Diceros bicornis minor: one gene and its partner. The protein of the gene in region 1 interacts with the protein of each later gene in a pairwise test. Links are inferred from orthologs where the notes say so. Each region holds a gene or a part of one and is shown in the gene's direction. Other genes may lie near its edges.

Region 1 (7,347 bases):
AGAATAAGATGCCTGTGTCCCCAGAGAAAAAGAGAAAGGAATGGGAAGGACACGGACGAGAGGGCGAGGCTGGGGTTGGAGTGGAGTGGCATGGTGTTCAGGCCCTGAGTTTCCTTCCTTCTCTCCGTCCACTCCCAGCCCCACCTTCAGCCTGTTCTCCTGGCACACCTGCTTGCTGGGGGTGGCCTCCTGTCTGCTCATGATGTTTCTTATCAGCCCCGGGGCTGCTGGCGGCTCCCTGCTTCTCATGGGCCTGCTTTCCGCCCTGCTCACGGCTCGAGGAGGCCCCAGCAGCTGGGGCTACGTCAGCCAGGCGTTGCTTTTCCACCAGGTCAAGGGGGCTTGGAGGAGGGTGGGGAGGGGAGGAGGCAGTCTGGGAATGCCCACCCCTGAAGGAGGCCTCCCATTCCCTTGGCTGGAGCTGGGGTTCCTGTCTGAGAAGTGTTGAGTGGGGGCCGCCTGCTTGAGCCCTTCCTCCCCACCACCCCACTCCTGTCCCCAGGTGCGTAAGTACCTGCTCCGGCTGGATGTCCGGAAGGATCACGTGAAGTTCTGGCGGCCCCAGCTGCTGCTCCTGGTGGGGAACCCCCGGGGTGCCCTGCCTCTGCTGCGGTTGGCCAACCAGCTCAAGAAGGGGGGCCTCTACGTGCTGGGCCACGTCACCCTGGGAGACCTCGGTGAGTTGCCCCCCACTCCTCTTCTCCCTCTCAGTCTCAGACGCTCTTTGGGTTCTGTGTCCCAGAGGCTCGTGGTTCTTCCCGAACGATCCTTCCAGCCAGCCTCAGCCCTGCCTAGACCTTTTTCTTCTGCCCATTTGGGATTTGAACTCTAGGAGAAAGTACATGAGTTTGGCCCACATTTGCTGCCTGCCTTCCCCGCAGACTGCCTGCCCTCGGACCCTGTGCAGCCGCAGTACGGGGCATGGCTGAGCCTGGTGGACCGGGCCCAAGTGAAGGCCTTCGTGGACCTCACCCTCTCGCCCTCCGTGCGCCAGGGAGCTCAGCATCTGCTGCGGATCTCGGGCCTTGGTGAGCTGCTCCTTCCCCCGGCCCCCTAGGGCCTCTGTGTGGCCCCTTTCAATCTGTTCCCCTCCCCCAGAGAATAAACCACAGATTGCAGACTCCAAAAGGTACTCACTGTCGAGTGCAGATAAGACACAGCCTCAAAGCTAACAGACAGTGTGTGATAAAACCTCAGAGGAGATGCTTAAGGACTCAAGATGGGGCAACTGTTATTTTTTTCTGATCCAAAAATTGGGGCACAGGCTCTGAAGAGCATGTTGTATTTCTGGGGACAATGGGAGAATTATTTGAGCCTGGGGGCTGCCCCATCAAATCTAGGACAGAAGGTTTCTAACCACCCGAGTTCAGAGAAAGGAAGCTCACCATGTGCTGACGTGGCCAGCAAAGGTTTTGTGACAAGATGGTGTCTCAGCTGGGCCTTAGAAGGGGTGGAGAAGTAGAGAGTGATGTAACATGGCCCCCAGAGACCACAGAGGATGTGGGGGATGCATGGGGCTGATGCGTTTGGATGGAGTGGAGGATTCCCAGCTTTGTGACTGCGTCTTAGTACTGAGGCCTCCCACCTTGCACCCAGGCTTCCTCCAGATCTGTGCTTAGCTGCCTCCTTCTCTCTTAATCCCTCTCTGAGTGCATGCTGCCTTCTCCATTTAGAATCTGGCTAAAGTTCAAGTGTTGGACATTGCCCTGTTCGGTGTAAATCAGAACCGTGGAAAATGCTCAGGAGGGGGTATAACTAGCTTACTTTGCAAGATCAGCTGGAGTTCACACCTGCTGAGGTGTTTTGGGTTGTTTTCCAGCATTATTAGACAGACCCTGGAGCACCTGAAGGCCTGGTCTCTCCTCAGCCCCACCTTTTTTGGGGAAACCTGTGCAAACAAACCACTACTTTCATGAAATGTATCCTGTGGGAAACGATTCAAATAAAACAGAAAAGGTTTTCTCTAAATAGTAAATTTGCCTGGCAAGTAAAATTTGATTTCCTGGTAGATTTTAAGCAACCCATTTGTTTCACGAGAAGGAGTCTCAGAAGAGGTCTCAGCACCTTCTTGTACATGCAGCCCTTTAAAGAGGGAATTATCTGATTCCATATAGGTTATCCAAAAATTAAAAACCAGCGGCTGCTGGCAGGGACTGGGGCATTGTGGTTGGTACACACACCAGCTTAGAGGCTCAGAGAGTGTGTTCTGGTGCTGGGCACATTGTGCTCACCTGCCGACCCCATATTTACCAGCCCTGAGCCCTTGGGCAAGTGACTTCACCGCTCTGTGCCTTATCTGTAGAAGGGGTTGAAGTAAATAGTCCCTACCTCGTGGCGTTGCTTCAAGGATCAGATGAGTTAAAACACGAAGTGCTTTCTTTCAACAGCATGTGGCCCCCGGTTAGTGGGCAGATGTTAACTGTCTCTTCTCTGGGGACGGTGCTTTGGACCCACCATCATTAGGGCTTTGCAGTCATGGAAGCATTGTGCAGCCCCAGCCCGAGTTCTCATCCTTCCCCAGCAGAATCCGGGTGCTGTCTCCCTGGGGATTGAGGCCATGAGCTTGACTAATCAGGGGGTCTGGTCTGCCCCCGGGAGTCAAACTCATCTCCCATCATGAAAAAGGTGTGCTGGGAGAAGCTTGGAGCAAATGCATCTGACTGCCATGGACCGGAAGTGCTCATTAGTTAAAAGAATCCCAAGGTGGCCTCTGCTTATTTAAGTGGGGGAGATTAGTCATGGAGGTAAATCGAATAAATGCATGTGCAAGTGTTTGGGAAAATGAAAAGTCATCATGCAAATGTGCATAATGTTGCCTTAAGAGACCAGGCCCGGTGCGAATCTCATACCTGACGGCTGACACATTTCCTTGTCAGCGTGTAGGAGTGGGCAGGGATGAGCGTGGGGCAGTCTCTGCCTGTGAGTGTGACTCCTGTTGGTTCCTTCCCTCCTCCCCCTATCTGCCCCCAGGTGGCATGAAGCCCAACACACTGGTCCTGGGTTTCTATGATGATGCTGCACCGCAGGACCACTTCCTGACAGACCCGGCTTTCTCTGAGCCTGCAGGTGGCACCCAGGAGGGCGGGACCCCAGCCTTGAGCACCCTGTTCCCTCCTCCCCGGGCTCCTGGGAGCCCTCGGGCTCTCACTCCCCAGGACTATGTGGCCACGGTGGCAGATGCCCTCAAGATGAACAAGAATGTGGTCCTGGCCCGGGCCTGTGGCGCCCTGCCCCCTGAGCGGCTGAGCCGGGGGTCTGGGGGCACCTCTCAGCCGCATCACGTGGACGTGTGGCCCCTCAACCTGCTGCGGCCCCGGGGTGGGCCTGGCTATGTAGACGTCTGCGGCCTTTTCCTGCTGCAGATGGCAACCATCTTGGGCATGGTGCCTGCTTGGCACAGTGCCCGGCTCCGGATCTTCTTGTGCCTGGGGCCTCGGGAGGCCCCTGGGGCGGCCGAGGGGCGGCTCAGGGCACTGCTGAGCCAGCTGAGGATCCGGGCTGAGGTGCAGGAGGTAGTGTGGGGCGAGGGGGCTGGGTCCGGGCAGCCTGAGGAGGAGGAGGAAGGGGACTTCGTGAACAGTGGGCGGGGAGACGCGGAGGCAGAGGCCCTGGCATGCAGCGCCAACGCCCTGGTTCGGGCCCAGCAGGCGCATGGCAGAGGAGGAGGGCCAGGTGGGCCTGAGGGTGGGAATGGTGTGGAGGGGCCTGCCACTGCCCTCACCTTCCTGTACCTGCCTCGGCCGCCTGCTGATTCTGCCCGATACCCCCGATACCTGGCGCTCCTGGAGATTCTGAGCCGTGATCTGGGCCCCACGCTGCTCATTCATGGCGTCACCCCCGTCACTTGTACTGATCTCTGATGCCCCATCCCTAAAGCAGAGGGTGCCCAGGCCGGGAGGCCCACCTTGAGTAGCAGATGAGGAGGAGAAGGGCCGCCTCCCCGCCTGCCCCACACGTGGTACACGGAGCCAGGTGGAGGTATTAGGTGATCCTGATCTGCGGCATCTGCTGTCTCTGGGAGAGGGGCCCTGGTGCACGCGTGCAGGGCAGCTGTCTGGCCACGTCAGCCTCCCTCCCTTCACCGGTGCCTTGTCCGGGGCTGGGTCTCCGCTCGTGACTTCAGGCTACCTCAGTCTCCCCCTCACCCAACAGACTCACTGACCCCTGAGGTTGTGATATTTGTGTTCTGTTTTATTTTTCTAACTGCTGAACGTGAATAAAAGACCAAAACACTACGGGCTGGCGGAGCACTGCTGGGGGGTGGGTAGATGGGACGGGAGGAGGGAGACATCTGTATGGGGGGATGTGGGAAAGAGGAGCGCCAGAGCGTCCCAGCGTCGAGGTGGCCATGGGCAGGACCTGGGGCGCGGGGCGCAGGGCCTGGGGGACTCGGGGAAATGGAGGCTGCCTGCAGCCTCCCAGACGCCGGCTCCGCGGAAAGCCCTCCCCGCTCAGCAGGAGGGGGCTGACTAGGGAGGGACAGCAGTTTAGGGCCTAGGGGGCCACGTGACCCTCCCCCAGGAATGCGATGATGTCACAGGGGGCGTGGCCATCCCCAAAATTGGGGAGGAAGAGGAAAAAAAGCCAGAAAAAGTTTCTTTCCTGGAGTCCCAAACGAGGGACGGAAGAAGGGGTCAAGGCCAGAGGCTCAGGGCTCCGTGAGGCCCTGACCGCGGTCTGGAGGTCCCCCGTTCCAGGCCATGTCGGGGCCCACCTGGCTCCCCCCGAAGCAGCTGGAGCCCGTCAGAGCCCCTCAGGGGAGAGTGCTCCCCCGGGGCGCCCCGGGGCCGCCACCAGCCCCCGGAGCAGGTAAGGCAGTCCCCAGTGGGCCCAGGAGGCCACCTCTGCCCTGAGGCTCCTGCCTCCTGCCCAGCCTGCCCAGCCGCCCCTTCCCCGGAGCCAGGCTGGGACTAGCCGCCCCTGCCCTCTCGCAGCCCTCCCCACCTCCTGTCCCATTCTCGGAGCCCAGGTGCGGGAGGGGGGGGGTGAGGGGGAGGGGAGACGAGGGACCTAAGAGGGCGTCCTCCACAAGTGTCACCCTCGTCTCCTTCCCCATCTACCCTTCCTCTCTCTTCCCTCACCGCAGCACTCCAGTCCCACCCCAGGGTCAATTTTTGCCGTCTCCCATCTGAGCAGTGTTACCAGGCCCCAGGGGGACCAGAGGATCGGGGGCTGGCCTGGGTGGGGTGCCATGGAGCACCCCAGCGTTCACAGGTGAGAACCGGGATGGGGGGGTGAGGGCAGGGCAGGAGAAGAGGGCCGTGTGATTTGCTTCTCCCTGCTTCTGCTCCATCCTCAGGGGCTCCCCCCAGACAGAGGGGGCTTGCGCCCAGGAAGTCTGGATGCTGAGATAGATTCGCTGACCAGCATGCTGGCTGAGCTGGATGGGGGTCGTGGTCATGCCCCACGGCAGCCTGACCGGCAGGTGACCCCCTGTCCTGCCCCGTCCCTCCTCTGCTCCCTGTCCCCTGTCCCCCCACCCGCCCCCCTAGCCTGGTCCCTTCTCTGGATTCTCAACCCAGTCCACCCCTCACCTCTACCTTGTGGAAGAAGCTGGGCCACCAGAGCTTGCTAGGTTGTCAGCCACTTGAAGGCGGGCCGTTGTCAAAAACCAGCACTTACCTGGGTGCCACACACATGGGTGGGGCATTTCCACAGGTGTGTGTCCTGAATGGGCCCAGCTCACTCCTGGTCTGCGTTTCTCCTCAGGCTTATGAGCCCCCTCAGCCCCCTGCCTACCGCGTGGGCTCCCTGAAGCCGAATGGAGGGGGTGTTCCTTCCCCACCGCTCCCAGCATCCACTTACGGGGGCCCCACTCCGGCCTCCTACACAACAGCAAGCACGCCCGCCGGCCCTGCCTTCCCTGTGCAAGTGAAGGTGGCACAACCAGTGAAAGGCTGTGGCCCCCCCAGGCGGGGGGCCTCTCAGGCCTCCGGGTCCCTGCCGGGCCCCCACTTTCCTCTCCCAGGCCGAGGTGAAGTCTGGGGGCCTGGCTATAGGAGCCACCGAGAGCCAGGGCCGGGAAGTGAAGAGGAGGCTGCCGGGGTCTCTGGCCATGCAGGAGGAGGAAGAGGAGGCGGGTATGGGCCCCCGGTAAGCACCGTGTATGGGGTTTGGGGTCCTCACAGACAACTGGACACTGATTGGGCGGGGTGAGGAGTGGTGTTTAATGTCCTGGTTGTCAGAGGTCTGAGGTGTCGGAGCTCTAGATCCCCGGAGAGTGTGGGCAGGTCAGGAAGTACAGGACGGAGGGGACTGGAGCTGTACCCTGGCTCCCCGAGGTGTGCCGCCTGGACGCTGGGCTGAGACGTTCTCAGATGAGCTTTCTGGGCAGAACTGCCTGGTCACCCTCAGCGATTTTCACAGGGTCAGGAGCTAGAGGTAGGGCCGAACCCCTGATTCTCACTTCCCAGGTGCCCCTGAGCCAGCCTCCCGAGGAGGAGCTTGAGAGGCTGACCAAGAAGCTGGTGCATGACATGAACCACCCGCCCAGCGGGGAGTACTTCGGTGAGCTGACCCCACCGGTGGGGTGGGAAGGGGGAGGTGGGGCTAGAGAGTCAGAGGGACAGCCGATCCAGCTTCCTAGCTTGTGCAGATTGACCCTGTCCCTCCCTGTCCCCAGGCCGGTGTGGCGGCTGCGGAGAAGATGTGGTTGGGGATGGGGCTGGGGTTGTGGCCCTGGACCGCGTCTTTCACGTTGGCTGCTTTGTGTGTTCTACGTGCCGGGCCCATCTTCGGGGCCAGCATTTCTATGCTGTGGAGAGGAGGGCATATTGTGAGAGCTGCTACGTGGTGAGTGGTTGGGGTGGGGGGCTTCCATCCAAGGTGGGAACTAGATGTCCAAGCCCCAAAGAGGAACAGGACTCGAAGGTAGGGGACTAAAACTGATGTACAAGAAGAATGGAGGACTTAAGTAGCTAAATACTGCCTGCTGGAGGGAAGGACCACAGTCCCTTTACAAGTGTGAGGCATTTATTTTAGAGTTAAGGAAAGTGTTAAATTCCCACCATACCCCTGTGAGGCAGATATTACTACTGAAGGAAACTGAAGCTCAGAGTGGTTAAATAACTTGTCCATGAAGCTGCATTGCTGAGACTTGCCACCTTTCACTGAATCGCACGCAGGTGGATACACGAACAGATGGTTGGGCTGGCAGGATGCTTGTGGGGCTGCCATGGGTCACCCCAGCCCTCAACCTTCCTCCCTTCCTTCCCAACAGGCCACCCTGGAGAAGTGCTCCACATGCTCCCAACCCATCCTAGACCGGATCCTGCGGGCTATGGGGAAGGCCTACCATCCTGGCTGCTTCACCTGTGTGGTGTGCCACCGCGGCCTCGATGGCATCCC
Region 2 (7,833 bases), on another chromosome or scaffold:
ATTCTATTTAATCACAGTTCAGAAGCACTCTCCTAATTTCTGTTGAAGGTACATCAATAATATCAATGACCTCTGGAAGAATGTAGAGGACTAATGGGAAAAGTTGATTGGTGTTTACTTCAGAACAAAGGAGAAGGAGCAGGCTGCTCCAGCTCAGAGAGAGAGAGAAAGAGAAAATAAGGAGAAGAAGGAGGAGGAGGAGGTGGAGAAGGAGGGAAAGAAAGGAGGGAGGGACAAAGGGAGGTAGGGAGAGAGACAGACTGGCTTTCTGAAGACACAGCTGAAGCAACAGCTCAGAGGCAACATTCTGAAAGGAAGGAGTACCACATTTCAGGATGCAGTGTATTTATTAAACCAGAGACCTCTGAATAGTACTGTGTCCCCAATAGGAAGAATACATGACTCAGCAACCAAAGAGTAGAGGCAGGAATGGCTCCACTTACCGTCACTACCATTGACCCACTGGAAAAATCTGTGCTTTCATCTCTGTAACTCTGGGCTCTGCTGAGTCAAAGGTCTAGGTCCCCAAAGGGGATGCTCTCTTGCCAGGTGACATATCAAGGCTCCCATTGAACTACAGTCTATAACTGCTGCCAGGACACTTTGGATTTCTTGGGTCTAGGGACCAGCAGATGAAAAGAGGAGTTACCATATGTCAGGGCTAAGTAACCCTAATCAGCAGGAGGAGGCAGGCTGCTTTTACACAATGGGGGCAGAGAGGAATTCATGTGGAACCCAAGTGATCTACTTGGGTGCTTCCTGGAATTCCCATGCTCCACTGTAACTGTGAATGTACATTTGTAGCAACCTTAGCCAGAGAAAGATATGACTATCAAGGGTTTAGACCCCTCAAGAAGGAAGGTTTGGGTCACAACACCAGATAAGTCACTAAGACATAATGACATGATAGCTGAGGGTAAGAGGAAATTAGAATGGATAGTAAAGGAGGGAGAGGATGGGTGCCAGTTACAGCCCTGGGATCAAATGCAGTGACAGTGGCTATAGTTTGTCCCACTAACCTCCTTCTTCTATATTTCCCTTCAGGAACAGAAGCCCATATGAAGCTTGAAGGAATTGTCCCTTGAACCTATCTGGAGAAGTAGATTTGTGTGGCTTTAGGGCAGCTATGAAAATGCACTATTCAGATCTCCTGCTGGGGGGATCATAACTGACCAATGGCCCTAACTGCCACACTGGTGAATCTGCTCTGCCTCCCATGGGCTGCTCTTAAAAGATGACTGAGTGCAGCAGAGATACTAAGTCAGGCCCATTTCCAAGAGATGCAAGACTCCTCCAACAGCCACCTTGGGCTCAAAGACTCTCCATCAGCCTGGTTGAAACTTTTTTAGAACTGTGCCTATCCAACGTGTTTTCGTTCCCTCTGTCTTTCACAGAGGTCAGACCTGCTTCACAGTCTGACAGCTCTTCCTATCTCTTCTTCTCCCCCTCTCTTTCCCCCTCACAGGCATTTCGCCCAATACGTGTCTTACAAATCGAATCCCATCTTAATGTCTGCTTCGCCAAGAACCTAAACTAACACAGACATGTCCACAAAACAGATTAAAACTGTAATCCATGGTTTCAAAAAAAGCTAAGAAAATAATCCAAGACATGAAAGAACAATAAGCATCAAAATTAGAAAAAAACTCAGAAAAAAAGGTGACACATTCAGGAGAAGTTACAAATAAAAGTAAAATCCTTTAGAAGATAAAGACTGGGGGCCAGCCTGGTGGCGCAGCGGTTAAGTGCGCACGCTCGCTGCAGCGGCCCAGGGTTCACAGGTTCAGATCCCGGGCATGCACCAACACACCGCTTGTCAAGCCATGCGGTGGCGGCATCCCATATAAAGTGGAGGAAGATGGGCATGGATGTTAGCCCAGGGCCAGTCTTCCTCAGCAAAAAAAAAAGAGGAAGATTGGCATTGGATGTTAGCTTAGGGCTGGTCTTCCTCACAAAAAAAAAAAAAGAAGATAAAGACCAACCTAGAAAATACACCAACACAAACACAACATAATGCCATAAGAGAATAGAAGATTTAAAAAAAGGAAAATAACAAAAAGAAATGAAGCAGGAGATAAAAAGGATACTATTTGGGATCTTTGATGGCAGAATTTCTTTAATTTCCCAAGAAACTTATTGCAGTTGCTTTACACCTTCATTGTTGAGAGTTTCTCTGAATCTAATTATTAGTTATTTCCCTTTTTCATGAACTCAGTGGAGAAAACCAGTTGGTCATCATCCATCTCCAACCAGATTATCCAAATCTTCCTCAGAGAATCTTTTTTATTTTCCCTTACTTAATTTGGGGGTGGGGGTTATTTCTCTTAATATTGTCTATTTTCTCCACATTTATGTCTGTTTCTTTTAACGTAGAGCCACTAATTGGAAATACTACCCAAGTCAAGGTATGACCAATGCTAACATGGCAGAATTCACGGATTAGGTGTGAAATGGGCTCATCTATGCATTTGGGGAATTGTGACCTGGTCAAACGATTAGACTCAGATCCTCAAACTAGTCTATTCTGCTGACCTTTTCCAAGCATGAAAACAAAGAGGGGTCATTTTATCAACATAATCAACAAATATTGATTAAGCATTTTCAATGCACCAAGAATTGTGTTCACTGTTTTAGATGTCTTGAGGACATCTTTGATCTATGAGGAAGATGGTGTGGACGTTTTTGTTTTCTTTTGTTTTTATGAACAATACTTTGGATTAAGAACAAAGACACTTAAAATTAGGTCTAAGTCAGCTTTTGAGATGTTGTATTACCAAAGGAAGAGAACAATCCCAATTAGGCCAGTGCTAGAATGAAGGAGGCCACAGCTATGTTGGCAGCTTGATGGGAAAAACAAGACGGACATTCAGAGGCACCACCCAAGTTCTCCTGCTCCTTACTCCTCAGTCTCCACTGCTCAGTCTTACTTGGCCCCAAATATCCCCACTTTCAAGTCTGTCTTGGAAATAAAACATAAATTTATAATAAAAATTAAAATGTGGGGCCAGCCCCGAGGCTTAGCGGTTAAGTGAGCGCGCTCCGCTGCTGGCGGCCCAGGTTTGGATCCCAGGTGCACACCGACGCACCGCTTCTCTGGCCATGCTGAGGCTGCGTCCCACATACAGCAACTAGAAGGATGTGCAGCTATGACATACAACTATCTACTGGGGCTTTGGGGGAAAAAAATAAATAAATAAAATAAATAAATAAATAAAAATGTGATTATGTCCCTTCAAGTTCCCAAAATACATGATCACATATATGATAACAATATCATAAATATATTGAGCATTTACTTTGGGCCAGACATTAGCTCATGAAATCATCATTCCAATAACCCTATGAGGTAGCAACTATTATTATCTTGCTGCTCTAGAATTCAAATTCAAACTGCCAGATTCCAGGTGCCAAGCATCTTATCCCTATGTTCTGCTACCTCCCTATGACAAAAAATAACATAGCCAATCTTATGCTACAGCTAACCTACAGTGACAGGGATATTTTATTTTGCTAATACTTGAGCCAGCAATTTAAAGTAAAAGCAAAGTGTCACAGACATGAGGCTAAGTGTAGCACTGTGAATCAAAGCGTGGGGAAACAAAATGAAGAAGGTGAACCTGAAAGGGAGGAGAGCAGTGAGTAGGGAATTTACAACAGTTGTCCTAAGCACCCCTCAAGTCTCCTTCCAGAGTATTCAGATTATAAAGCAAAGACCTCCTTTATTAGAATCAAAGCTTAATAACCTAAATGCAAACCAGACATTTAACTCTCCAAATGATACAGTTCCCCATATTCTATCTATAATTATCATATCTGGACTCTTTCAGTTACAGCAAAGGCAACAACACTTCTATCCTTCCAGCCAACAGATTTCTATCTCAAAAGGTTAAGATATACCAGAGTTGACTAATGTGTTTGCTATAGGAATCAACAGGTTACAACACAGTGAGTTTGTTTTAATGCTACACGGTAACTGAACACTTCAGAACATTTAGCATATTGTTCTTAGTTAACTTGCTAACTTGCATTCCAAGGAGCAACAATGTGAGGTAGGACTTATGTTTAAAAGTGAAGCTCAGACTCAGACTGCCTAGGTTTAAACCTAGTTGTCACCTAACAAGCTTTGTGATCTTGGGCGTGATATTTAACCACCTGAGGACTCACTTTTCTCAGCTGCAAAATGGGGTTAACAACAGAATCTACCTCATAGGATTGTGGGGACTAAATGGAGTAATATTGCGTAAAAGTGCGTGCCACAGTATCTGGCACATAATGCTCTAAGTGTCAGCTATTTATCAAAGAGGGCCGGTTTAATATGAAGACAAACTAACATGTAAAAAACATTAACTCTATTAACTATAAATCTCTGTTATCTTCGGTCACCTAAATCTGGTTTTTCATATCTCATCTTTCCGTTACTCCATTCTACTCTTTACACAAAGGGAAAAAAAACTCCAAGGCTTCAGAGTTCTCCGTAGTGAAAGCAAGGAGCTCAGGTAATTATTACACCCAGAAATAGTCTTTGCCTGTCTAAGGCGCCTTTCTAGAGACTCCAGGAAAGGGCCCTTCCCCACCCCGCCCCGCCCCGCCCCCTCGATGTCTGGACCCGGAGACCAGTCCCAACGCAGCCGCGACGCCACCTCGCTTGCGACTAGTTACGTGGGAACCGAGGTCCAAGTCCGATCCATGTACAGTTACTCTGCAAGGTGATTTACATATCTATTGTTTATTGGCTACCAGCAAGCACTGGCTCTCTTCATTGGCTAATACTGCCCGGTGCCGCTGTTCCGCAGGGCATGGTCCCCGCGAGGGTCACAGGCACCTACATTTCCGTTTCCGGGTCGCCTCGGGAGCCATGGCGACCGCGTTGGAACTGAAGTATCTGCAGACATTAGGCAGATGGCGCCGCGGCCTTGGAGTACTTCCCCAGTCTCGCGTGAGTGCCTGCTTTTCCCTGTTCTCGGAGGGACGCTGGATCTCTGGGAGGCGCTCTCGGCAGCTCCTCTCTAAGCGAACGCCCAGAACCTTGCCTTCTGCCCCTCGCAGTCAGCTTTCTTTTCCCGGGCTGCAGGCTCTCGCCGCCCTCGTGCCCGGCGTATCCCAGGTGGATAACAAGTCCGATTTTCTGGGGAAGAGGCCCCATCGCCGGCACCCTGGCATCCTGCAGCTGCCGCGCGTGCGGCTGCCGCAAGCCCTGGCTGACGCCGCGCAGTTACTGCTGCTCGGTGAGTGACGGTGGAAAGGGAGGCTCGAGAAGAGGCGGAGACTGGGGCTGCCCGCGAGTGATGCCGCTTTTCATCTTTCGCCCGTAGAGAGGTCTATGCCCAATGTGGAGAAGCAGGTGCAAGCACTGACCAATTATCTCTGGAGCCGGCATTTACCTATAGAGCCAGAGGAGTTGCAAAGACGGGCTGTACATCTTGAGAAAAAATTCTTGGAAAACCCAGGTAGGGCTTAAGAATAAAGAGGCCAAATTGAAATATCGGTGAGAAGTGAAGAGCAAGAAATAATATTACCGTCTCTCAAATAGATACTGCGTTTTCTTGCTTGACTTTCTGGCCAGAGCAGTTATTACAATGACGTCTTATCAAGAGAAGAAAGATTATTTCAGAGATTGCCCTTGGGGCTTTGGTAAAGGTCAGCGAGTGCTTCAGTATCCTGTTGAAATCTAGATGTTTATTTGTGTCCTCCAAGTCCGCTGGATTAGGACCGTCTAAGTTTTTATTCAAGTGAAATAAAGTCCCTGTTTGGCTCCCTGTCCAGTACTGGAACCCTCTTCAGGGATAGGAGAATACTAAGTATAATTTGTCAAGTTATTTTCATGATTGTGAGCTCCTGCATATTACAGACCTACTTTTTCTTCGTCTTGTATTCCCTGCACTTCCCACAGTGCCTGGTTCATAGTAGGTGCTCAGTAGATAAAATAGTACTGAACTGAACACGGTCATGAGGCTTAAGATTTTCAAGCCCCTTTCCTCCCTATAGGAACATTGGAGACATCACAATCTTAAGTGTGGGAGAAAGGAGGAAATCCACAATATATTGTCCTTATCCAATCCTTTGATTCTTTACCATACTTCCCTTGAATAAAGAACAAAACCTGTGGGATAGGGTTGATGGAGTTGAATAAACTGCTGGTAGAGGTAAAATACTATCTGATGCAATCTGTTGGTGGTGGTAGTCATCGTTATTCTTACCTGAACTTTTTCTCTAGGTTTGGCTTCTCTCCTAAGCTTTGAGGCTTTCCCTGGTGGGAGTTGGGGAGGAATGGGCAGGCAGTATATTCAGATACTGGATCTGAGCCCTGTTCTTCCTAGGTCCTCACTTCCAGTCCTTGTTCTCACCCCAGACTCATCTCAGACAGAGGAGAAACTTTGTGGAGCAGTGCTGCATGCCCTGCGCAGAACTACCTACCACTGGCGAGAACTGAGGTAAGGGGGACTAGAAGGGCTGTAGAAGAAAGAAAAGTTTGACTTCAGAAGGAGAGTTGGGGAAGTACAGTTACACAGTTTAGTGTTTGAAAAAGCTGTCTGGTTTGTAAGGCTCCCCAAGAATCTTCTCTGTTGAGGAGTGAAAGTGTTGAATTGGAAGAGCCCTTTCCAAAGATTTCGTTTCCTAAAAGTCTAGAAGATAGCTATGGGATAGATAGTTATTTTCCAGTGGGTATGACTCTCTGATTTTCCTGGCAGCTACAATGAGGGACTGAGCCTGGTGTACATGGCAGCAAGACTGGATGGTGGCTTTGCAGCAGTCTCCAGGGCATTCCATGAGGTGAAAGTCCCTCAACTTCAACCTGAACCCTTTTACCATCAGTTCCGTGATTCATAAAGTAGTCTCCTGGGATAGGATTCTTGGGACATTGCATGTCCATTTCTTTCTTTAAAGAGGCCCTCTTTATCCTCTGAAAAGATTTGTGACCCAAGAAAGATTTAGAATCACTCTTTTAGGAGCTTCCTATCCTATAAAGTATTTACATTGAATCTCAAAACACGTTCACGTCGCATCTCCTCTATCGTAGTCCCCTAATTCATATTCACCAAGGCTCTAAATAAGTGTCTATTTACCCTAATGTGGGGTGTTATATATTTCTTCAGATCCGGGCCCGAATTCCAGAGTTCCAACCACAAACCTTGATGGACTTTGGTTCGGGTACTGGTTCTGTCACCTGGTGAGTATCTTTCTCTGTCAATTCTAGCTCTGGAGAGCCATGCCTACACCACTTCAGTATCAAGACACTGTGGAACCAGAGGGAGAATAGGAAAGTTGGGAACTAGAATGTTTCTTGCCTCATGTTAGGCAAGGCGTAAGATTATGGATTAGGGCCAGAGCTTAAAAGAAATGTCAAGTAAAAAAGACGCATGTTTAGAAAGATAAAAAAGGAAAAGAATTTAGTCTAGGGTGTAGGTTTTACATATCATCAAAATTTTTTGCCTACAAGTAGTTTTTTCAGTCTGCCTTTTTTTTTTTAAGGAGTTATAAACGAAAATTGTTAGTTTTTCCAACTATTTTAACATAACACTCTGTTTCAGCAGGGGTGGGGTTGGAGGTGGAGTGGTCTCTTGTAGGGATGACTCATTGTCATGAGAATTGGCGATTTATATTTTGCCATCTTAGGGCTGCTCATAGTACTTGGGGCCAGAGCCTACGTGAATATATGTGTGTGGACAGCTCAGCTGCCATGTTGGATTTGGCAGAAAAGCTACTGAAAGGTGAGGACAAGGTATAAGAAGGGCTTTTCCAAAGTTGAAGGAGCTAAGAAAGCAAAGGAGTCCTAGAAAGGGTGTTTTATTGGGGAGTAGAGGAGAGGGCTAAAAGTTAAAGATGAATCTGATC

What was found. The genes of interacting proteins can lie anywhere in the genome.
Region 2: the proteins of TRIP6 (region 1) and METTL17 interact in binary tests that used the Homo sapiens proteins (3 or more experiments, as listed by UniProt). The link is inferred for Diceros bicornis minor from reciprocal best matches to the Homo sapiens genes TRIP6 and METTL17.

What each region holds. Positions count from the first base shown.
Region 1 is NC_080765.1:5,033,894-5,041,240, reverse strand, and holds the start of TRIP6 (thyroid receptor-interacting protein 6), read left to right. Parts: upstream 1-4,330; 5' UTR 4,331-4,700; coding exon 4,701-4,809; intron 4,810-5,086; coding exon 5,087-5,214; intron 5,215-5,299; coding exon 5,300-5,425; intron 5,426-5,709; coding exon 5,710-6,093; intron 6,094-6,413; coding exon 6,414-6,507; intron 6,508-6,622; coding exon 6,623-6,792; intron 6,793-7,219; coding exon 7,220-7,347. Other genes in the region: SLC12A9 (solute carrier family 12 member 9), read left to right, coding at 139-331, 503-677, 882-1,028, 2,971-3,860. UniProt on the Homo sapiens protein: Relays signals from the cell surface to the nucleus to weaken adherens junction and promote actin cytoskeleton reorganization and cell invasiveness. Involved in lysophosphatidic acid-induced cell adhesion and migration.
Region 2 is NC_080744.1:28,280,930-28,288,762, reverse strand, and holds the start of METTL17 (methyltransferase-like protein 17, mitochondrial), read left to right. Parts: upstream 1-4,829; 5' UTR 4,830-4,855; coding exon 4,856-4,936; intron 4,937-5,071; coding exon 5,072-5,225; intron 5,226-5,312; coding exon 5,313-5,447; intron 5,448-6,349; coding exon 6,350-6,431; intron 6,432-6,689; coding exon 6,690-6,771; intron 6,772-7,094; coding exon 7,095-7,168; intron 7,169-7,614; coding exon 7,615-7,709; intron 7,710-7,833. UniProt on the Homo sapiens protein: Mitochondrial ribosome (mitoribosome) assembly factor. Binds at the interface of the head and body domains of the mitochondrial small ribosomal subunit (mt-SSU), occluding the mRNA channel and preventing compaction of the head domain towards the body.